4 linked regions of the Drosophila melanogaster genome follow. The gene in region 1 interacts genetically with each later gene. Each region holds a gene or a part of one and is shown on either strand. Other genes may lie near its edges. The genes, in order: htt, Klc, not and E(Pc).

What was found.
Region 2: of htt (region 1) and Klc, changing one enhances a phenotype caused by changing the other (phenotypic enhancement), as found in Drosophila melanogaster (one study listed by BioGRID).
Region 3: of htt (region 1) and not, changing one enhances a phenotype caused by changing the other (phenotypic enhancement), as found in Drosophila melanogaster (one study listed by BioGRID).
Region 4: of htt (region 1) and E(Pc), changing one suppresses a phenotype caused by changing the other (phenotypic suppression), as found in Drosophila melanogaster (one study listed by BioGRID).

Annotation. Positions count from the first base shown.
Region 1 is NT_033777.3:28,694,505-28,699,686, reverse strand, and holds the start of htt (huntingtin), read right to left. Parts: upstream 3,446-5,182; 5' UTR 3,356-3,445; coding exon 3,282-3,355; intron 3,016-3,281; coding exon 2,758-3,015; intron 2,695-2,757; coding exon 2,478-2,694; intron 2,417-2,477; coding exon 2,287-2,416; intron 1-2,286. Other genes in the region: snu (snustorr), read right to left, coding at 4,529-4,703, 4,763-5,094, 5,161-5,182.
Region 2 is NT_037436.4:12,745,838-12,751,958, forward strand, and holds Klc (kinesin light chain), read right to left. Parts: upstream 4,220-6,121; 5' UTR 4,126-4,219; intron 4,003-4,125; exon of another isoform or gene 3,873-4,002; intron 3,062-3,872; exon of another isoform or gene 2,970-3,061; intron 2,846-2,969; 5' UTR 2,821-2,845; coding exon 2,219-2,820; intron 2,105-2,218; coding exon 1,984-2,104; intron 1,918-1,983; coding exon 1,438-1,917; intron 1,367-1,437; coding exon 1,061-1,366; intron 994-1,060; coding exon 976-993; 3' UTR 779-975; downstream 1-778. Other genes in the region: CG32109 (uncharacterized protein), read left to right, coding at 1-88, 144-399, 460-641; CG10984 (uncharacterized protein), read left to right, coding at 4,770-4,902, 4,965-5,018, 5,470-6,121. UniProt on the Drosophila melanogaster protein: Kinesin is a microtubule-associated force-producing protein that may play a role in organelle transport. The light chain may function in coupling of cargo to the heavy chain or in the modulation of its ATPase activity.
Region 3 is NT_037436.4:18,617,746-18,623,917, forward strand, and holds not (non-stop), read right to left. Parts: upstream 4,385-6,172; 5' UTR 4,368-4,384; coding exon 3,627-4,367; intron 3,088-3,626; coding exon 2,686-3,087; intron 2,625-2,685; coding exon 2,514-2,624; intron 2,447-2,513; coding exon 1,632-2,446; intron 1,463-1,631; coding exon 1,420-1,462; 3' UTR 1,061-1,419; downstream 1-1,060. Other genes in the region: bora (aurora borealis), read left to right, coding at 5,042-5,319, 5,378-6,172. UniProt on the Drosophila melanogaster protein: Histone deubiquitinating component of the transcription regulatory histone acetylation (HAT) complex SAGA. Catalyzes the deubiquitination of histone H2B, thereby acting as a coactivator in a large subset of genes.
Region 4 is NT_033778.4:11,450,585-11,455,843, forward strand, and holds the start of E(Pc) (enhancer of polycomb), read left to right. Parts: upstream 1-1,604; 5' UTR 1,605-1,799; intron 1,800-2,184; exon of another isoform or gene 2,185-2,301; intron 2,302-2,808; 5' UTR 2,809-3,732; coding exon 3,733-3,885; intron 3,886-3,949; coding exon 3,950-4,085; intron 4,086-4,240; coding exon 4,241-4,479; intron 4,480-4,548; coding exon 4,549-4,703; intron 4,704-5,003; coding exon 5,004-5,171; coding exon of another isoform or gene 5,172-5,206; intron 5,207-5,235; coding exon 5,236-5,259.

The sequences.
Region 1 (5,182 bases):
AAGAACTTTCTGCAAAATTGGCGAGCCCAAAACGGAAAGAGCAGAGAATCGGGGGACTTCATGCTGGGCACGTTCGAGGACTGCAATTAATAGCCACCCGAATAGAGGTGTTTAGTTTGAGGCCTACTAACTGCAAAGTGCACAGTCAGAATCAAGTAATCCCAAAGTTTGAGAGAAAAATGTTATCAATTATTTGATTACAAATCAAACAATTTAAATAAGAATTGTTTCGATATTTTTTAACACACACAAACGAATATACAGTTGTAGCTGAATATTAATTAATTTTGCAGCTGTCATACACGTAGAAGCCCAAAATGAAGTCAAAATGAAAATAATTACTTTGACATTCTCGACCAGGTGGACAATCTGGGGGCCATGGAGTACGTTTTCAAAGAGATCAGCAGCGTTTTCAGATTATGAATTGGTCATTGTGCCATTTGTGCTGCCATACCAAGTTGCCATGGAAAATAATTTGCACTTTTTGTTTAGCTCGGCATCAGTCAGTGGGCAACATAAATTTTGCCAGCTCCCCTTTGCATCTGCCGACTTTCCTTTGCTGGCCTCGTTCGGCCGGCATTTGTTTACAACGTTGATTATCCGCTTTAAAGCTGCACAGGAATGAATATCTGATTCAATTTCGCATGAATTATTGCATGGAAGTGTCCAAGTGCATAAATTTCATTTCGTCTACGGGCGGGGAGACAAACAAACGGAGATGGCGTGGGCGAGGGCGGCTCTGCGGTCTGTGTTCTGGGGTCTGGGATCTAGGATCCCGGCTCTGAGCTCTGAGTTCTGAGGTCTGAGCACCGTACTTTGTGTCTGTTTGTTGGGGCATGCCAGAACACAGGCAGCCCAAGTACTATGATGGGTGCCCATAAAAAGAGGCGCCAGACTGTATAAGGATGCGCTGAAGAGTTGCCTGGCATTGTGCCTTTGCCGAGAAGTGGCATAAAGTTGACACAGGACTAGAAGACCGGTAGGCGGCAGGGAAAGGAGCAGAGCTAGAAACCGGAACAGGAGCTAAAGGAGTTGATTTGAAGGTAAACATTTGGACAAGAAAAGAGCAAAGGAAGAGTCAAGCCGAAGCTTAATTTATATGAACTTGGGCGAGGTCAGAATTTTGACTTCCATAAAGGTAGTCCTAGCAAATGAATTAGTTTTCCCAGTCCGGTATATCACTTCAATTGTTTGCAAATGCCAAACACCGAGCTCCTCTGAGGTTTGAACTTAATTTTTTGTTGGACAATGCAGCAGGTCATAAAAAGACGATGGCAAATGTAACGTAACTATGGTGCATTTACCTCTTCGTCGACGTTTGCCAATAATATTTTCATGAAAATTCAATAAAAAATGATTTGTGTTTGCAATTTTTAAGCATTTTCGCATGGCTCACGTTGCCATGACTTTTGTTTTTGCCGCTGCAGTTATTGCTGCAGTCCGCCAGTTAGCAAATGTTAAAATAAAAACTGCCCGCTATCGTTGCCTAAAATCAAAACAAATCTGGAAAAAATATATGTGTGTATATTCGTACATTCGATGGCTCGTCCATCGATTGCGCATGGTAACCAACAGCACTGTAGAAATATAATTTATATCAACTGTCTAGTTACTTTTATTGTGCCACGCCCCCTTTAGCGCCCACAGGCCACAGACAAACAAACCCATGGCTGTGATTGCATTCACAATTCGAGTTTGAATAAAACCAAAAACCATCTATTCCCGCGCTCGCGTAGTTCGCAGTTCGATGGCTTTACATTTTGGTAAGGTATTTTTCATGGATTTGCGGCTTTTTAGAATATTAAAAATATTTTTTAGCTGCAGAGCCAGCACGAACCTAACAATATATGTATATATATGACGATCTATGCGAGGCTTAGTATTTGGCCGTTACACGCTTTTTAAACATCTCTTTCATTATTGATGTGAATATAAAGAGCGTCCTGTTGAACACAAAGTGTCGTAGCGAAAATGCGTTAAATAACTAACAGCGATAGCAGCGAATAGTGAATACGTTTATCCAAAAGTGTACAAACAATAGAGGCTGTTATTAAGGCTGCAATATTGTTAAATTTAATGGTGTTACTCTTTGCGAAATAACAATAACAGCTGACCCTAGAGTTTTGAAACAAGTGTATCATTCTGCTGAATTTAAATTCCTTTTCTAATAGTAAATAACAGCACTCACGAACTTCTCATTTGCTATAGTTGCTAGTAAGGATGCAGTGTTCATATGGATTTTTCGTATTTCTCTCAGAAATTCATTTCCTATTTAAGCTGTCTTACCCATCACTTTGTTGACCCCATGTCTGGCCATGAGGCTCCTATTGCGTGCATTCTCAATCAGACTCATGCAGTTTTGGGCAGAGCAACGACGCTTGACGGCACAATCGGAGCTAATTTGGTCCAGAAAAGTCTGCAAAAGTCAACAAACGCTTAAACATAAAAAGAAAAGACGTTTAGGGATATTATTCTACCTCGAACAGTTTGCAGGATTCGCTATCGCTGAGACCCTGTTGTATATGGCGGCTAAAGTGCTTGACGAAGTCGCAAAGAGTCTCCTGGAGCAACGTCTCCTTGCGCTGGGAAATGGTGGTCATACATTGGAGCAATCTCACGGCATACCACTTGATGTGTTTCTCCTTTATTTGTGGAGCATAGTAGGAGAAAAGGTTTAGGCAAATCCTCAGGGATCTGTGCAGAAAGTTTTTCTTTTTTAAGATTGTTATTTTAGCTTTAATATATTTGCCTCCTTACCTCTGGTTACCATTACGCTTAATTTCACCATACAGATCCATAAGAATGCGACTGACCCGGGTTTTCTCGAGTGACCTCAGTATTTTATTTAGGTTTTCCTCGGCGCTCATCCGAACCACGGAATCCACATCCTCGCAGAACAGCAGCAGAACATTCGTGGCCGTGCCGCAGTGGGCGGCATAGTTGATGTGGCCCGCCAGCGAGGGCGACATGATGCACTCGGCAATCTGCTGAAAGCAGGTGATCTTCTGCTTTTGGCTGTGGGGGGTTCGAAATAAATTAGTTTTATTACAGGTATGTGGCATGACGTCATAGCGGATGCACTTATTGCTCAATGTTGAATGAATGTTTTGGGTGGCCTAACAAGTTGGCAGGTTCATCTTAAGGGCAATAAAACCACCGGAAATCACCTGGGCTTCATAATTTAATCAATATTGTTCCGTAATGAGCAACAAACTGTTGCCGGTCCCCTCCCCAAAACATTCAATGCAACCGAAAACAATCAAATTTCCGTTCAGTCCCACCTGCATTCCGTATTTCGCAGTTGTTCCACGAAGCCAACGAACTTGTCGTACGCACTGGACCTGGATTTGTCCATTTTCGCGTCCTTAATAACGCCTAAAATCGCTTTTTAAGCATAAACAACACAGGAAAACATTGCTCTTTTGTTATGATTTCAATCAGCTGTAACGCCAGTGTTACCAGAGCGCACAACTGCTTTTAAGCGGAACACCAGCGACCAGCCCTGGTATTCAAGTTAGCTATCGTTAAATATTTAAATTTTGAACTAACCTGCTAAATTATCTTTTTAGTTTTGGAGAAAATTAGAAGTGATAACATATTTATTAAATTCCAGCCAGTTGGTCACAATGAGTTGTTATTTCCTGCATTTAAAAGACTGTTATGGACATGCTAGAAAACAGTAACAGTGCATTGGCGCCAATGTTAAAATGAGAACATCTTTTTCAAAATGTAAGTAAACCAACAATTAAATTTAACTTTATTTATTTATTCACGCTTTATTATTATTTATACATAACTGCGTTCACATTAATATTTACTTAAATAAGAACGTTTTTCACTTGTTCGTTGTTCATTGTCTTATGTTTGTTCGTTGTGAAATATTTATGCTCTGCGCAAAATATTTCCTGAAATATATTTTTACATACTCTTTAGGGTTGCGTACATTATTGTATTTAATTATGTTTTACCTTAAAAAACTTAAACCCATACAAAAATGCTTTAAGCTACTTAATGTTAATAACAAAACCCACCATTGTTTTTGTTCGTTTTCATTGTGTTTTCTTTTTGTTTAGGCTTGCCCTACGTGTATTCGCGTGAATTATGTAGAAAAAACAATCACAGTCCATTGAAAATATATAAAATTAGTTGCGTTTGTATGTGATAAACTGCCCGTGTCGGCGTCGAGAAAAGGTCTAGTACAGAGGGTTGCAAATAATGGACATCTAGAGCAACGGATTACTGAATTCGTGACACAAAATATTTACAACATTTCATTTAGGAGTACCTAAACCTTACGCTTTAAACTACGAAAGTGCGGAACTTAGTCTAAGGAAAAACGAGTGCCGAGTGGAAAGCTAAGGAAAGCTGCGAATGTGCTTAAATAATTTATGACATTTGGGCAGATACGAAGGGAAGTGAAACTCGAAAGTGGAATTAAGAAGAAGACCCGAAGTGGGTGTAAACTAATTAGGACGACTTATCGTGTTCTAAAGTTAGGCATCTAAAAGTAGCGTAATATCTGAAGATCCTAGCCGCGTTTGGCTCGCAGCACGAGAAGCGTCAGCACCAGGAAGCCCACAATCCAGGACAGCGTGCTCACATAGCCGATGTACACATCCGACTCCAGTATCGCCCAGCCACGTGTGAGGATGGAGCGCAGCGAAGAGGTGGCTAGCGTTAGTGGCAGGCACAGTGATATGTATCTGGGGGATAAGATTTTTTAAATTTCCATTCACAACAGAGTAATACCACAAGAACTCACCTCAGCACCACGGGCATGCCCTCAATCGGCCAGATCACTCCAGACAGCAGCAGGGTGGGATAGAAGGAGCCCAGCGCCAGCTGTATGGCATTCCTCTCCAGCTCGCACACCGAGGAGATGAGGAAGCCAAAGCACATTCCACACATGCCCTGCAACAGGGTCAGCACGATGACCCAGAATAGGTCGCCGTTGTTGGTAACCCCGAACACCACCAGCATGAAGATCAACACCAGAGTGGTCTGTCCGCACATCACCACGAACTGGGTGATCACGTGCGAGAATAGAATCTCGAAGGGCGAGACGCCAGCCACCCAGGAGCGATCCAACAAGCCCTGGAATGGAAGTAAGCAAATTTTATTATAATTATTCCCAAAAGAGGATAGATTTTCTCGACTTACCTCAGTGCGCTCAATGATCAGA
Region 2 (6,121 bases), on another chromosome or scaffold:
AATTCCATTTTCTGGAAAACTGGAAGCTGTGCCGGAGAAAATTCTTCAAGCAACCGAGGCGTTGATTATTTACTTTGATTCACAAGACGTAAGTGTTTATAAAAGCAATAATAGTATATCTATTATATTACAATTACTTGCAGACCTCCTTTATCGACACTATTCCCAAGACGTTAGCGAAGAATGAACAGATTCAGCTGGGCTTTCTGCTAACCTCTTCCACTTCAGAAGAAGGTGGATTGTCCTTTGGAGAAATTAAGGAGAAAACGAATTTCCTTTTTGACATCATAACATTGAGAAGCAATGTTGAGAGTGACCCAGATGAAGCTGAAAAGGACTACGAGGAAGTTGTGGAGGGTTTGAAAAACGTAGTTTGGTCCAATGTCAAGTTTGGTTCTGGTTAGTGCCCAGGATTTGAGTTGAGAAACCAATAATCCATTTCGTCCTATTGATTTGCAGATCACAAGGAGGAAATCAGTGCCGACGAGCTGGATAGTCAGCTGAAGGACTTTGAAAACTTACTCCTCACGGCGCAAAATCTACGTAACGATACGAGTCTCACTCGGGAACAATTTCTGGATCGGGCTGAGCAGTTTGCAGGCATAGTTTCCTCGATTTTAAATGACAATGATAGCGACTAACTGATACTCAGTTATCGTAGGCAAACTAATCGTACTGTTTGTTATCAATAATAAATGTTAAGCTGATTCCACTGTAATGTGCTATATCTGGTCCGTATTTTTGGTTTAGTTTTGAAGGTTTAAATACAAACAGGATTATGTTAAATATATTTGGTTTATTATTAAAAGCGGTACATATTTTTTGAAATAACAAGGTATAAAACGTTGTTTATTTGCTAATGTATGCTTGAGAGCTTATGTATATTAAGGAATGAATAAATAAAGTGTGTGTTTGCTGTTAGCTTTCAATCATAAACTTAAAGATTCCGTTGTGGGCGATGAACAAATAATATTTTTATGGTTTCGCATTCTTCTGCAAGAATAAATGGGAATGATTAATTTAAGTTAATTAAGTTAAGTGATTCGATTTTGAAACTCACCTCCTCAGAGAAATCCAAATCCTCTTTAATTGCCTTCGATCGTCGCTTTTCGTTTGACGTTAGCAATTGTGAGAGCTTCGTTTGTTTAGCTAGATCGTAGGCTTCTTTTTTACTCCGCATTGCACAGTCTTCCAGGGTTTCGGCCGCTTCAAACATGCCTTGACGTCGGTAAAGTGCTCCCAGATTTTTTAGAGTGGTTGTGACCGTGGGCGAATCCACTTTAGCGGCCTTATGCCAACCGCCGTACTCGCCATATGGAGTGTTCTCCCTGTTATCGAATTTGTGCTCCTCACGCTCCTCAGCCACCTGAAAATTGTAGTAAGAAAAGGAACTTTTGAGTATTTACCAGGCATAACAGCACAACAACACAACATTACCTGCCAAATGGGCTTGTTTTTGCTGTCGATGGCTCCAAACTCACGTTCGTGGGCTCGCGTCAAGACCTGCTTATAGAGGATTTCAGCTTCGGTGTATCTACCTTGCTTCAGATAGCAGCCGGCCAGATTATTCTTTGTCTTGGCCACGTTGGGATCATCGGGACCCAACTTTGATTCGTAGATGTCGAGAGCTCGCTGGTAGTACTTCTCAACCTCGTCGTATTTGCCCTGATTCTGGCAGAGCAGGGCGAGATTGTTAAGTTGCTTGGCAACATCGGGATGATCCTTTCCCAGGACTTTCTCTCGGATCTCCAAGGCACGCTTGCACAGTGGCTCGGCATCTTTGTACTTGCCACGTTTGCCATAGAGGACGGCCAAGTTGTTCAACGTGGCCGCCACGGCTGGATGGTTCTCGCCCAGTGTCTTTCCTCGAATCGACAGAGCGTCGTTGAGTAAATTGGCGGCCTCCTTATACTTGTTCTGTATGGCACGAGATGTTGTTAATTAACGATTGTATAAATTAAGTTAATCAAAGCGTAGACGCACCTGATCGCGGTACACGAGAGCCAAAATGTTCAGCATGGTTGCTACATCGGGATGGTCGTGACCACTTGTCCTTTCGAGATCTTCCAATGCTTGCTTGCAGAGGGGAACGGCTACCTCGTATCTAGAAATATATTAGGCTATTATAGTTAATGATGAATTGATAGATAACGATGTTGTAGGTAAGGGGTTTCTTTAGTGCTCACGAGTAAAATAAAATGCATGGATGATGACTTACCTTCCCTGCGATGCATACTGAATGACCAGGTTGTGCAGAGTACGGAGACGCGCTGGAATCTCGTAGCCGGAAGTCTGGTTGGCGAACTGGCTGGGCGGAGTGGGCGACATGTTGTGTCTGTCCTCGTTTTCCTCGTCCGGGAATAGCTCGACCACGGGATCGGTGCGGGACTTGTCGCAAGCGTCGTCCTGCTCCTGATTCTCGTCGTACTTCTTCACGGACGCCATGAACTCCAGGTGCTTCTTCTCCTCCTCTAGTTGGGCCACCAGCTGCTCGGATGCCTGGAACTTTTGCTGAGTGTTGGCCAGCTCGTCGCGAAGCCAGGCGTTCTCCTGGTGGAGGCGGCGCACCTGTGTCTTAAGCTTGTGCTTCTCGGCCTCGATGTTCTGCAGATGGGATGTCAGGGCCATCATCACCTGGGCCTCGCTGAGGCCCAGTTCGATGTTCTCGATGTTCTTTCGCAGCATGTCCGACTTTTCATTGTCCTTCTGCACCTCGGCGATTCCGTTCATAATCGAAACATGCTCCACTCGCAAGGCTTCGAGGCCTTGAAGGACTGTTTTCGTATTGGTTATGATTTCGTCCTGCGACATTTGCGTCATTTTGCCGATTTTCTCAATTTTCTGTCTACAAAACACATACAAAATACAGATTAGTAAGTGCTCCTACAACCCTCTGACATCTGAAAGTGTAACAACATGAATGATATCAAAATTAAAAGGTGTTAATCGAGGTATTTGATGTGTTTTACATCCTGTATGATTTGATAGCTTTGGAGACAATCATTTTAACCGTATATTAAACGATTCTAGCTGCGTTAATCAATACGATGAAAAAGAAAATTCGCAGTGCGCATGCACGTTAAAAAAGGTGGTTGATAATCGAAAATGCCCGCGCTATTACATTCGCTGTAACAATAACTTTTAGAAACTACAGAAACTATTAAAAGTAAGGGATCAACTTTCTGGATTAAGTTAACTTCAATTTACTTTTAAGCCAAACAAATTCCAGTTCATTCAATTATGTTTTCTAATTGGAAACTAATGGTGGAAGCATATTCGATTTATATCGAATACTGTGCTTTGAAAACTTTCTTTTATTTATTATTTATCAACATTGCCGGTGTGATTTACATAAACATGACACTTCGTTAAAAAGTGTTTAAGGCCATTTAGTTCGTTTATTATGGTTATAATTATGGGCGAAAGTTAATTACACTTGGCGTCATGCAATAAACAAAAAACGAATGGCAAAAGTAGCTGCTTACATCAACTAAAATAAATTGTATAGTTTTTTAGAGACCGAAGCTATTAGTACCCTAACATATTCAAAATTATAGTTTTCTTTAGTCATTTGCCTTTCGAATCGGAAATCTAGATTGCGTAAAATGAGATTGTAAGTTGATTTTCGAGAAAATAGCTTTATTCTTAATCAAGATCGCCAAATATTGTGATTGGAATAGTCAGATTATAAATATTGCAAATGGGGTTACAACACCCCAGCTCACTAATTCCAGTGTATTAAAAAGTGAGTCACTTTTTGTACATAATATCTATGAACACTTAAACATAAAAGTTAGTGGCATTAAGAGATTGTATTTAGTATTTATCATGCTAAACGATTACTTAGGCCTTAGGCCTCCATTTGTGTTTACTTTGCCACACGAGCTGCCGCCGAGCACTTTTCCAACTAGACTTGATTATTTATGTAAAACGAATCATATTTTCCAGTAAAAAACTTTTCTTCAAGTGGCAGTCACTTATATTTATGTGCAACATATGTACATACACAGATAAGCTCAAGTAGATGTGTTTGTGTGTGGGTGAATGGATTTTGTCGTTCGAAATCCAGTTGGAAATGATTATGCAAGTTATCGCGCAGTGCATTCAAATATTGTAACTTATTACCAGCGGTTTTGCTCTGCAAACTCCTCAAATAAGCGAAATAGTGCGTAGATTTGCTATAAAAATATCTTACACTGCAAAACTTCTAAAATAAAACTGAGTGTGACCGTAGCCGGGGCGTTGAATTGTGTTTGACAAGCTAGGATTTTCTTCAACTGTGCAGTAGTGGTCACACTGTCGGGAGGAGAACGCAGTGGAATCGAAACACTAACTAAAGAAATGAAAATTCCTGAAAAAATCGGGTAGACTAACAATAAGACTTCGTATAATAGCTAAGATGTAGTATAAATAAAGTAGTAGTTAAAAGTAATAATGCGCAACATGCTATTTGTAAGCATCTATAACATGTTGGAGGTCAACAAACGCACATACCTTGGTGGAGCAGGTATTGATTTAGTTCAATAAAAAATTTAATTTTTGGAACTAATTAAAGGTGTATCTTGAAATTTGTACACATAATATATAAATTAATTTGTTGTTAACTTAATGGATTTGAAAACATCGTTATTATATTAGCAAGCTGGCATATTTTTGTATTCACGATACGGTCGCACTATTCTTTTTGTAATAAATTTTGCAAGACTTTTTCAAGTCTCCGTTTTTGTTCTATATTTTAATTTTTACCGTCTAAAACTGAACAAAAGAGTATGCCACCCCCAAGACCGAAGGGGATAGGATTTAATACAGGAGCTACCCAACCCAGATCGAACTCAAACACGCCAATGTCGGAGAGGCAGCAAATGGCTCTGCTCATCCAAATGACAGCCAACTCGTCGACAGGTAAATAAGCAAAATAATTAAGTGAATGTCTACTTTTCACATGATTCAAGTGGATTTTATAGTTCAGTCACAAAGCTTAGAACTTTTGCTCGTCGGCTTGAATTTCAATTTACATCGTGGGTACTTCGCTGCGTACATACTTACACGCATATACATCTATGCATGTACATATCTACGTATGTACATACATAAATGTATCTGAGAGTCAGGAATAATGTAAAAGTATCCGAGAAACTGGTTTCGATTGCGGATAAATTGTCATTTAACTGATTCAAATGAAGATACCAATTATTATTGAAGAAATATGTGTAAAGATGTCAAAAAAACCCTGTCTCTTATCCGAGCTAATACTTTAGAAACCAAAATTAAAAACAACTCATTTAACGATGCTTAAGTTCTTAGTTTTCACACAAAATCATTTTAGTTGGTTTTCCTTCAAACATAACTACAAATTCCACCCGAAAAGATATCCGATAGACAATAAGCTTTCATTTTACTTCCTACATGATCTTCCAAACTAAATCACACAGCCGTCAAATGTAATGTATAAGATTCTCGTTCTTGCAGATTCATCCCGCACCACCTTAAAGAAGAATGAATGCAAGAAAGGAGACGCAGAGACTGACGAGGGCAGCCTGAATGAGAAGCAAGAGGTCCTGGACACGAAAGACAAATCTTCAGCGGAGGAGAGCAGCAACGATGGTAAATCCAGCGATACGAATCATCAGGGAACTTCGGCTGCCAAGCGCTGCTACTCAGACATAGAGGAGGACTACGAGGAATCTGGCGAGGACGTAAAGAAAAAGAAGCGCAAGGATTCGGAGCATGGAAAGGACGTGAAGGGGGCCTCCCTGAAGCTCACATCGCGCGTGGAGAAAAGCTCCAAGCTAGCTGCAACGAAGGGATCCCCGTCAGGAAACAAAAGCAGCGCTTCCAATGCCGAAAAGGAGCCGGCGGAGACTAGTAAGAATGTAGATATTGAGAACGAAACGGAGTGCAGCGATGATTACAAGAGTAACGACAGCCTATACAACGGAGGACTCAAAGTGCCGCCATTAAAAATTGTGATTCCGCAGCAGAACTGCTCAATCGACACTGAGGGCAATGTGCTTCGAACTGGCAAGGTGACTGCCTCTCGCAATGCCGCCCTGCCGTATGTGGTCAGCTCCAATAGCGATTCCATTGACACCGTCATAACCAATCAATCTATTAGCCCGCA
Region 3 (6,172 bases), on another chromosome or scaffold:
TATGAGCATGCATATTAACCGTTTGTTTTAACATTTTGGCTGCTTAGTTCTGGATGTTTTGGGCAGCGTTGATAATAATTTTGCCTCTTGCGCTCGCATATGCAGCCATTTTACTTGAAGTTGGGATAATTGTACGACTTTTGAAACTACATTTTAATCCGCGTTCTGACGACACCTAGACTTTTTCCAACTGCGACAGTATTGCAAAGCTCCCGATCTTATCGATAAGGTAATTGACCCGATAAAATATACATTTCCTTTAATAAATTAATAATAATTCAAGCTCAGAAGATGGTAGTCTCAGAAAAAGGATTTTATACCTTAAAATAAATAAAATTCCTCACGAAAATTGAGGAACAATTATGTATAGCTGTGACTGTGAAAAGTTTAATTAGACAATTGGATTTTATCCAACAAGAGTAGGTTCTCATTACACGGAATTAAAAAATGTATGCTCATAAATAGCATATTATATTCCCAGATAACATTCAATGTGGTTTGTGCATCGAATAAGTAAGCAAGCGTTCGAACCAAGCGCACACTATAGTTGTCTCTTTTTAGCCTGCTCATAGCACAAGGCAGAGCGATGGAGTGAGAGGGCTCGCACATTAAAAAGCGTCATTCTGATCGCTCCCAGTACCGCAGGCTCGTTGGTCTAGAGGTATGATTCTCGCTTCGGGTGCGAGAGGTCCCGGGTTCAATTCCCGGACGAGCCCAAGTTGACGTCGGTTGTAATTTTTTTTTGTTTTTTAAATAATTGCAATGTATCTTAATCCCAGTTTCCTAAGCCCCCAAAAATGTAAGTATTTAAATTTACAATTATTGCTCTCCTTATTTAAATGAAGACGAAATAAAAAAAATCCATGACATTCATAAGCATGATTTGGATTTTGGTTCAGTTATAACGGATGTGTCTGAAAATGAGTTTTTAACATTTTTTTTTTCAATAAAAGGCATTTCAAGAAAAATGATAAAAATTCGCTTTCCATTTGTAATACGGCGTTTGTAGAATATCCCTTGTTTGATTTTTAAATATAAATGTATAAGTCATCTGCTTGTTGTTTTTGATTTTGTTTTTAGTATTATGGATTTGAAATACTTAGAGCAAAACGGGTATCTCCACAAATCGAGTGTTCAGATTGATTACATTTTCATTAATTTCCTTTTTTTTTGTTCTCCATTGTTCGTTCCAATGTTTTGAGTTTGTGAGCTTGAATAACCCCAATCGAATCAAATGAACACTCCTCAAATTGTAGGATTGCTTTCGTGTTTGTGTTAATATTACTTAATATGTAAGCGCTGCCGCGTCCTTGTCTGTATTTTGTGTTTATTCGTAATTCGTAATGCATTGACTTCTGTTTTCTGCTTTTGTTTTTTGAGGGATGCAGTCGCTGCTTTAATCGATCTCAGCGGATTTTCTTACTCGTATTCCAGCACATTTTTATGGTAGAACAATAAATAACTGAAAGAAGTGAAAATAAGTAGTTAGTTAATAATGATTTGATAATCCGAATAAAAAGCTAAATAACGTTGTATATGAATTTAAGATAAGACGTGAAATCAACTTAAGTAAGTTAACATTGAATGCTGCTTTTGCGGTGATAAAGTTGTAATATATTGGTCATTCTTACCCCTCGCTGTCCAGCACCTGCTTGAGCGATGCCATCGTTATCACATGATCATCGCACTTGACCCACGTGTCCTTCTGGTGCCGCACATACGCCGTATAGTGGCCGGTGTCGATGGTGCCCACATGATTGACCACGGCGTACAGAGAGAACCGGAAGTCGCCGTAGGCGTTCTTCTTCTCCGACATAAAGGGCGTCATGTCGAACTCCACGGGGAATTGAATGAACGAGGAGATCTTGCGATCGATCAGAGCTGAGTGCTCGAAGCGTTTCAAATGGAACGACACCACGCTGGGCAGAGTGCGCAGGCTGAACTGTTTGGTGGACTCCTGGTAGGATTTGCAGGTAGAGCACTTGATTTTGGCCGCCGATCCGAGATGCTCGGCCCGAGTGTACCGCTCCAGGCAGTCTATCAGCGTTTTTGGAGTAACACCACCATGCGTTGTTGTTTCGCCCAGGTCCAGCGAAATGTCCCAAAACGGATCGTACGTGGTGGACACTCCGTTGCAGGCCTGGCACACCACATCGCTCTGCAGCATGCCCGTGAAGATCTGGTCAATGATGCAATTACACTGGCCGTAGCAATGCGAGCTGCTCGAGTTGCTGGAATTGGTTCCACTTCCCGAGCCAGAGCTGTTGCTCTTGCTTTCGTGCTCCGCCTTTGCCTTCACGCAGTGCCGATGCAGCACGTCCAGAGTGGCGATGAAGAACTCGTGCGCATCCTGCTGCTCGTAGCCGGCCAAGTGCTTCGCATGGTTCCAGATTAAATGCAGTAGCCGGTGCAGCGACAGCGGCGAACGGGAGCCGGAATAGAACTCCTACAAAGGGGGATAGCATATCGAATAGAAAAGACTCCTCATAAACACCACAGCATATTGAACTCACCTGGAAGAGACGTGACACTTCACAAACGAGACATTTGTGCGATGACTTGCTGCCGCAGTCGTGACGATCTGACATAAAGTAATCGCTGAGCAGGGGCGTGTGAACCAGAGCCTAGAGGAGACAGGAGTAAGTCAGTGAGAGGAGACTCGCCAGTTTAATTGGATTTGCCCACCTGGACGATGCAGTTCATGAAGCAAGTGGCGCCCAGATTAAGCAGACCCCTCAGTCCGATCGTTTGATTGGGCCTCACCAGCCGACGCCTCGCATTGGCCAGCAGCAGATTGGTCTCCTTGGTTGTGGGAACCCACGGCACCCAGCCGATGCTCTTCTGCAGATCCTTCGCCTCCAGCTTGCGGTTGATCAGCGCATACTCGCGACTCCGCGCGTCGTAGATGAAATCTCTGCAGGCGTAGCAGTAGAGCGTTCCGTGGGACAGCTCCAGGGCCACATTGTGCTTCTTGGATCGCAGGTGACTCGTGATGTGGGCCCCCCGACATCCGAAGTAGATGCAGTGCAGGCAAGCGTACAACTGGATGCCGTAGCTGCCGCACTCGAAGCAGTTGCAGTGAATAGCCTGGCGGAGGTAGATTTTAAAATGGCAGCTGATAAAAAATTATATTCGTTTTTTTTCTAATCCCATTAACTTTACAAAAAATACGTCCCATACTAAATGCATAAAAGTGTAACAAAAATTTGAAAACTCTAAATCTCGTAAGCAATATAATATATAATCAATATGAAGCTAAAAATACAAAAGCCATGTAACAATATTAAATATTTTGAATATATTTTTCTTGATATGTAATTTCACCGTAATGAAAACAAAACTTTTTCGATGCAAAAGTATTTTTCACAGTGCCAATTTGTCAGCTGTTAAAACAGCTGTTGCATGCTTTACCCATTCAAAAAAGTCCGCACTGCTTTGTGGTGAGAACGGTGCGTTGTCTGCCACTGTCATCCCACAGCCGGGGTGTCAGTGACCTTTCACGTGACTCACGGCGCACCTCTGATTGTAATTGCGTTCTCCCCTTCGCACACTCGCACATTCTCACCTCACCACGCCAGTAGCGCACTCATTCTAGCTCCCACTCTCTTCCACGCTACTGAACTCACCTTTCGCTCGCGCGCATCTCTGTTGACGCAAGCAGCGAAGTAGGCGTCGATGACCCGGAATGTATCGTAGCTGTGCTCCTTCACATAGCTTTGATAGTGCCGACAACCCGTCTCGGACATGACGGCGCTGCTGGCGTCGGCGCTAGCGTTGGCTTGGGCGCTGGCGTCGCTGCCGGCGTCGGCGCTCTCAAGTTCAATAGCAAGTTTTTGCACGGTACGCAAGCAGTCCGATAGGCGCAAATGTTTGGTGGCATCTAGGGGGTTTTTCGCGTCCCTGTGGCCCTTTGCTACTCTGTCTCGCTGCTTGTCGCTGTTAACTGTTTTGATTAGATCGGCGGTGATAAAGCGACCGGCATTTGTTGTTGTCGCTGCTGCTGCTGCTACTGCTAGTGTTTCGTTCTCGGCCGTTCCCCGGCCCGCTTCTGCACCCACCGCCCACCGTTCCGTTCCCCTGCCGAAGCTTCGGCCACTGCTGCTGCTGCTGCTACTGCTAAATACGCTCGTATTACTATCAACACTATTCTCTTTTGTTTTCGCCCGTTTCGCCGACGACTGCAGCGGCACGAATGCTTTGTCACACTTGCGCTGTTTTCGCCGAATTTTGGCCACTTTTGCGGTTCTTCGCCGGGCGGCCCAATTTTGGAAGTAGTTGGGCTTTTTTTTTGTGAATTTCTGTGATTTTTCGCTTGCTTTTCTTGTTTCTATTTCGCACTGCACGCAAACACATACACACGCGCGCATATGTGTTGGTAGAAGACAGCTGTCAGTGTGACCAGTTGCGAAATCGTACTCAGATGTTGGCATTGGTATTTTTCTAATATAAGAGTATTGAAACATTTAAAACGGAATATTAGTTTAAATAGAAAGTAAACTAAACCATTCAAGATAAAGTTATATTGAAATGGAATCTCTATTCGGGTTATAGGAACAATAAAAGGTTCTAGCAGCCCAAATATTGAAATGCATCCATATTCGGATAATTACGAGCTACTTATTCCTCAAGTTTATAATGGGATACAATTTTGTATACCAGTAACCATTCTTTATTTTTAGACTGGTCCCATTTTATTATAAAACGGTTAAAGTCGCCCAGCTGATGTGTTATCGACAGCAAGCAGCGGGTGGCGCGCAAAATAAAAATACTAAAAGTTAGACGGGAGTCGAAATAATTTGCAGGCACTTTTAGATATGCGAATAAATAAATATTAAGTGACAAATCAGTCGTTAGCACCTTTTTTTCCTTGAACATCCCTCACTTTCGCATTCTGCTTTTCGAATTGCCAACGATTCGATAACTCCGCTGCATCGCTATACAACACTGCTGCATTTGAAAATACCGACATCTGCCTGCGAGTCGCAGCAGGCGCGCTTGTTTTATTTTAAGTCGAAATTAGGCGACTTAGTGACTGAAAAAGATGTACAACGACGAGGTGCGAACGCCGCAAGCCCTCAAGAATCGATACATTACAAATGTGAACGGATTGAAGTGCCGGGCGCGCCGTAACAGCCACTCGAACAGCAGCAACTCGTCGGCGGCGTCGGCAACGCCAACGAATGGCGGCAAAGAAAATGGAAAATACAGCCCCCAGATGTCGGGAAATGTGTGCACCCCGCCCCCGAAAAGGCTGCACAAGGTGCGGAATCCCTTCGAAGGAGCGATGGCCGATCGTTTACACCTGCCACTGATCGCCAGGTGAGTTTTTCGTCTGCTCGAAAAATCCTCTTAACGCGACCCTCTCTTTTCCTGGCAGCCCCTCACTTTTCCGCTCGCGGACACCCCAACTCTCGTCCACCCAGTTCGAGTGGAACATTGACGAGGTCTCCCAACTAAAACCCGCCGACGTGGAGCCCCATGAAACCCAGTTCCACGATTCCCCCGATCCCGAGCAGGAATCCAAGGCCCAGTTGGCCATCAGTGCCTTTTTCAAGGAGTCACTCATTGTGCCCAGTCCGGTGGATTGCCCATTGCGAAAACAGCGCATAATACTCAATTGCAGCGAGGACAACACTCCCATATCGAATAAGTCGCGAAGGATGCGGGATTGCGAGGTGCAAACGGAACTTACTTTGCCGCCGATATTGCCAAAAGCCCTAGAGGATGCCCTGCGTCCGTACTTCCAGCCACATTTGGCTGGCCGCTTGTCTGGCAGGAGCAAGTCAAGTGGTGGTCCCGACATCTTTAATAGTTCCATGCGCCGGAAACTCTTCGATCTGCACAATGTCATTGTTTTGGGCGAACAGGACACGGCAGAGCCATCGAGGTCCATGGTGGGCTCCAGTCCGCAGGGCAAGCAAACAATGTTCGCTGGCAGACTGTCGGATTCCGCATCCGGGGAAAGTAGCTTCGGCTGCCTTTCACCCATTAGAAACCTATGCGGACTGCCGCCTGGCACGCCCGATAATGGTACTTGCTCGGGAAAGAGGAAACTTCTAATGCACGAGCTGGAGCTGCCGTCGCCCATTGCCCCGTCGGAGCATCTCAGTCGGAGATTGGTGCACTCCAAGGTAGAGATCAGCGTTACGGAGCAGCACGACACGTTGTCAGA
Region 4 (5,259 bases), on another chromosome or scaffold:
ATCTAAATAGTGCTTCCCGCCACTCACCTCAATTCGCCATTTCACCCACTCACCCCAACTCACCACACCAAGTGGCGCACGCGCCACAAATTCCACCAGTGGCGTACGCAGGATTCTCTCAAAGGGGCTTGAAAATATTTTCTTATTTTCATTTAATTCTGTAATATGCTGAAGAAGAAGAGCCCTCTCCCTGCGCACGCCACTCTCTTCAACCACCAACACGGTTGCGCAGCCGCGACAGAGAGATATGCCTTCGCTCTCTCGCAGCTGCGCCACGCCCACCACCCACAGCCACCCACGAAAATGGTGCTTTTTCACATACGACACCACTGTCTGACTATATTTTTCATCATGTACGCCATCGCAATCCATGCCACAGTGGTCGCAATGCCGCGACAGCCGCTCCACAAGTGCCACCAAATACTATTTTATTTGTGTATTTATTTTCACCGAAAATGAATTCCTGCACTTTGTGGGCGGCAGGCGCGCGTGCATTGCCGAGCATCTGAAACGTCGAGGGTAGAGATGAAAATATCGGGCGCCGCCTGTCACCGGCGAGTATTACCCAATATAAATCGCTAATGGCCACAGGCGGTCGCCGCCCCAACTGTAATTGTGAACGTCCGTGCGGCCATTGCCCAAAAATGATTACATAATACGATCGAACGAACCGAATGAGAAGCCAAAGAACTAAGGATACGAAAGCAGCTGAAATAACGTTGGAGGATCGGCGCGGGATTTTGGCAAATCGAGCTTCTTCTGCTTGGGGCTTTTCAAGCATAAGGCTTTGAGGCTTTCTTTTTACTAAGCAGGTGCTTCCAACTCGCTTTGCTGGACAAATGCCCGACATAAGTTACCATTCAAAATCGCTTGGCCAAATCAGCATTACCCCCACAAATTGTTAAGGACTAGCGAGTAAATTTTAATCGTATTCTCGAATATAAATTGAGCAAACTTTAAGTCAACGAGCACATTTGAAACTATCAAGACATTGTAACCAGCAAATAAACAAAGTTAAGCAAAACAGCGAGTACGAAAAGCCTTGTAAGAGATTATAATAAAACAAAAGCATTTAAAGGAAGTTACAAAGTGGAGTTATTATTATTTGTATGCTGTATGCACAAGTTTAATTTAAAGAATCCAAATAAAATTCTAAGCTATCCAGCACACAAAATAAAACAAAAATTGTTTTACTCATTTAATAACTATATCTATAATGTCGACTGTTCAGCAAACAAGTTGTAAATACAAATTTGAATTAACAATTTTTTATAAATTTCGAATGTTAAAGCCCATGCGTTAGCACATCTTTGCCGATGCCGCAATTGTGAGTGTTTCCGATAGCTCGCACGAAATGCACTAGCGCATGAGCACTCCGAATTATTTGCACACCACTAGCTGGGCACCTGGTGAATGGGGCTGCGTAAATTAACAACAAAATAAATAAATGCAGCTTGGCCCCGGCTATCCAAATGTATGCATGCGACCCCTCACAAAATTCCACAGATTTAGATGAAAACCGCACTCAAAACGGTTAACTATTTCGCCTGGAGGCCTAGCCAAAATAATTTCGCCACTGTGGCGACGATTTCGTTCGACTCCGACAACTCCGAATTTTCATTCGTAATGGCCGCCCATAAGTAAAAACGTGTCCCGCTGCTGAAGAACGATTATACGCGTTTGCGCTAAGCCAATTGCTTGAATTTAGCTGTAAACGGTGCGGCAGTGGTAAATACGCTGAAAACCACATCATTTAATCATATAAGAGGCCCCAACGCCCGGCAAAGAGTGTGAAAAAAGTGCGTGAAAAAATCTTAATCGATTTTTTTGTTTGTGAAAAAAAAATCATGCAGCGTTGGGCATAGTGCTCGAAGAGCTCGCCAGGGGGCGCTGACAAACTGTTCGGAGTGTCATCGGAATAAGAGGCCGGCTATTTAGCGCTGCCAACGGCGATTAATCGATAACCGTAGCGGTTTTGAAATATATATTTTGAAAGGAAAACGTCATGTTAGAGCAATTTAAAAATTCTAGCAGTAAATATTTAATTTTTGCCCATATATGACAGGGCCCTGCAGTGAAATTGCGGCAATTAAATCGACGACCGCTTATCGTTATCGCCGCCGACGGCACAAATAAATCGCGGCCCCGCTGTCCGCGGCGTCGTCGGTGTTCGGCTCTCTGGCCGCCATTATTGCTTTCCAGCGAAACCACGCTATACGCAAAATCGGGTTTATATGTGTAAATTTTTCGGGCGATTTATCAACCAGATTGCGTTCGCTGATGCATGAAAAGTGCGGTAAAGTGTGTAAAAAATTAGCGCTGGCCCAGAAAAACATACGCACTCGATGGCTGATTACTAATTAACTAGATAAAAGCAAAAAACAAAACCCACATGAGGCGGAGTTTGATTGCGTTTTTTTTTCTCACTTAACAGAGTTCTGTACAAACAAAATGTTAGCTAACAGGGCTCTGCAAAGTGAAATATCTCGCGGAAAAGGCAGTATTAAATTCGCCGCGTTTGTTTGAGATGTGTGTTTGCGCGCGTGTGTTTGTTTATGCCGCCTTTTTCTTCGTCTCGGCTTTCTATGATTTTGCATTTTATCGCATTTAAATAAAAAAAAAAAATCATGACTCATGCGGATCGTGTTTTTGTGCGTGTTAATATTAATTTAATGCAAAAGCAAAGAAATATACAAATGTATGTGGATTTGTGAGTTTTTTCCCGCGCGCGCCGCCCTCACATATCAATGTATGCGTGTGTGTGAGAGTTGTTTACTTACTAGTTTTTGTTGTTGTTATCAATTCTAGATTTTTTATCAGCCAACCGATAACACGACAGCCAAGGCGAAATAATAATAAATAATAACAAGAAGAGGAAGTCAACAAATAAGCAAAAGAAAGAAGAACACAATATTGATTTAACCTAAAACGATGATGAACTGAAATGTGCAAATTTGATGAACGTAATTATGCCAATTCACACAGAACCTTCGATTTCAACGTGAAAAATGTCGTCGACACATTTGCTGCATTCACTGTCACTGTTGTTGCTACCACTGCGTTGTCGTCGTAATTGCCACCAGATCGTTTCCTTGGCCATTGTCCTGCTGTCGGCGCTGTCAGCCAGAGCTCCCGAGGATCAAGGAGGACGACAGGAGAGGGAGGCGGAGGAGGAGGACGAGCGGCAGGCGGACCGCCGGGAGAGTGTCCAGGGGGAGGAGGAGGACACGCCCTACATAGTCGCCAATCCACACCCAATCCTCACTAGCAGTAGCACTACGTCTTCGGCCAGGGCAACGGGCACAGGGGCTGCGTTAACCAGCTGGCAGAGCAGCCACAGCCACCGCAGCCCCGGTGCTCACGATCGGGATCGGTGTCAGGAACAGGAACAGGATCAGAAGCAGCAGCACCTTTTCTACCCCAGCAAGCCCCATCTCCAGCTAACGTATACAGCCCCCTCGACATCGAGTAGAGGAGCCAACACAACGCCGACCACGAATCGGAGTAGATCCTCCAGAATCCAAATTAGCAGTTGCAGCACTAGTCCTGCCCACTGCAGTTGGACCGCCGGAGCAATCGTAGCCTCCTTAGCATCCATAGCCACCTAAGCAGTCGATTCCACTAGGCAAACTCTCAAATCAGCCACAGCAACAGCAAATAGAAACGTTCCACACACCACAACAACCCAACCCAAAACCACCCACAACCAAAACCCAAACAAAAGCCAGCAAGATGTCCAAGCTGTCGTTCAGAGCCCGCCATTTGGATCCGTCCAAGCAGATGCCCATCTACTTGGCGGAGGAGCTGCCCGACCTCCCCGAGTACTCAGCCATCAACCGGGCAGTGCCTCAAATGCCCAGTGGCATGGAGAAGGAGGAGGAGTCGGTAGGAAGTTTCTCAGTGATCCTTTATTTTGGATGAAACTAATTTTGTCCCTTATCCCTTGTAGGAGCACCACTTGCAGCGAGCGATATGCACGGGTCTGATCATCCCCACGCCCGAGGTGCTGCAGACGGATCAGCCCTTCTACGATGCCTACTATCCGCCGGACTACAAAATGCCCCGCCAAATGATCCACATGCAACGTAAGCAAAAAGCAACTACTAGAGCAGAATAATTCGTTTCGTTTCGGGCTTAGAACATTATTTTTAAATTCCATATCAATATTGAATGAAATGCAATAACTTATGTAGTTTCGTATTATTCTTGGACTAATTTTTTACAATTGTTTAACTCTCAGCTCTTGGGCTGGATACCGAGGTCCCTGACTACGACATGGACAGTGCCGATGAGGACTGGCTCAGTCAGCAGCAGCGCCTGGAGCTTACCGAACTCAAGTTCGAGCAGATGATGGACCGGCTAGAAAAGAGCTCCGGCCAAACGGTGGTCACGCTGAACGAGGCCAAGTCGCTGCTTAACCAGGACGACGAGACCAGCATATCCGTCTACGATTACTGGCTGAACAAACGCCTCAAGATGGTAATAAACACTTAGCTTGGCTATTGGCTACGGCAATATACTAAATCAACTATCTTATTCATTCTCTAGCAACACCCGCTGATCCTCACTGTGAAAACTGAGAGTCGACCAGGCGCCAGCTCCAACAATCCGTACTTGGCTTTTCGTCGTCGCACCGAGAAAATGCAAACCCGCAAAAATCGAAAGAACGATGAGGCCTCCTACGAAAAGATGCTCAAGCTGCGGTAAGAATCGAGTGAAGTTTGCCTAAAGTCGGTTGAGAAATTTTTAAATGCTGGCTAATCGGGCTACACTGCAATTACTGGACACAGAACTTGCAAACATTTTCTTTCTCTGTATCATATAAATTCAATTCCTGCCCGATTTAAATGCAGGTTTTTTATGCATGATATCCTTAATCAGGAATTTTCCCATATACAACATTTTGTTTATAAAAAGCCAGGTAGTTTTCGTTAGCCAGCATATTTTATTGCCCAGCTTTTCATACCTGACCCTAACTAATCCACTCTTTCCCTGTCCTCTAGACGTGACCTGCAGCGCGCCACCACTATACTGGAGATGGTGAGGCGACGCGAGGAGACGAAGCGCGATCATCTCAAGATGACGGTGAACATCTTCGAGAAGCGCGTTGAGATGCGCGACTTCAACGGTGCTGTCTACTCCGAGCTGAATTCTCAGTACAAGAACACAAGGTGCGTTTTCGGACACCTTTTACTTATGAAGAAAGGTACTGAAATACTCCTTGTTTATTTGCAGACCCGCGTATAATCCATTGTATAC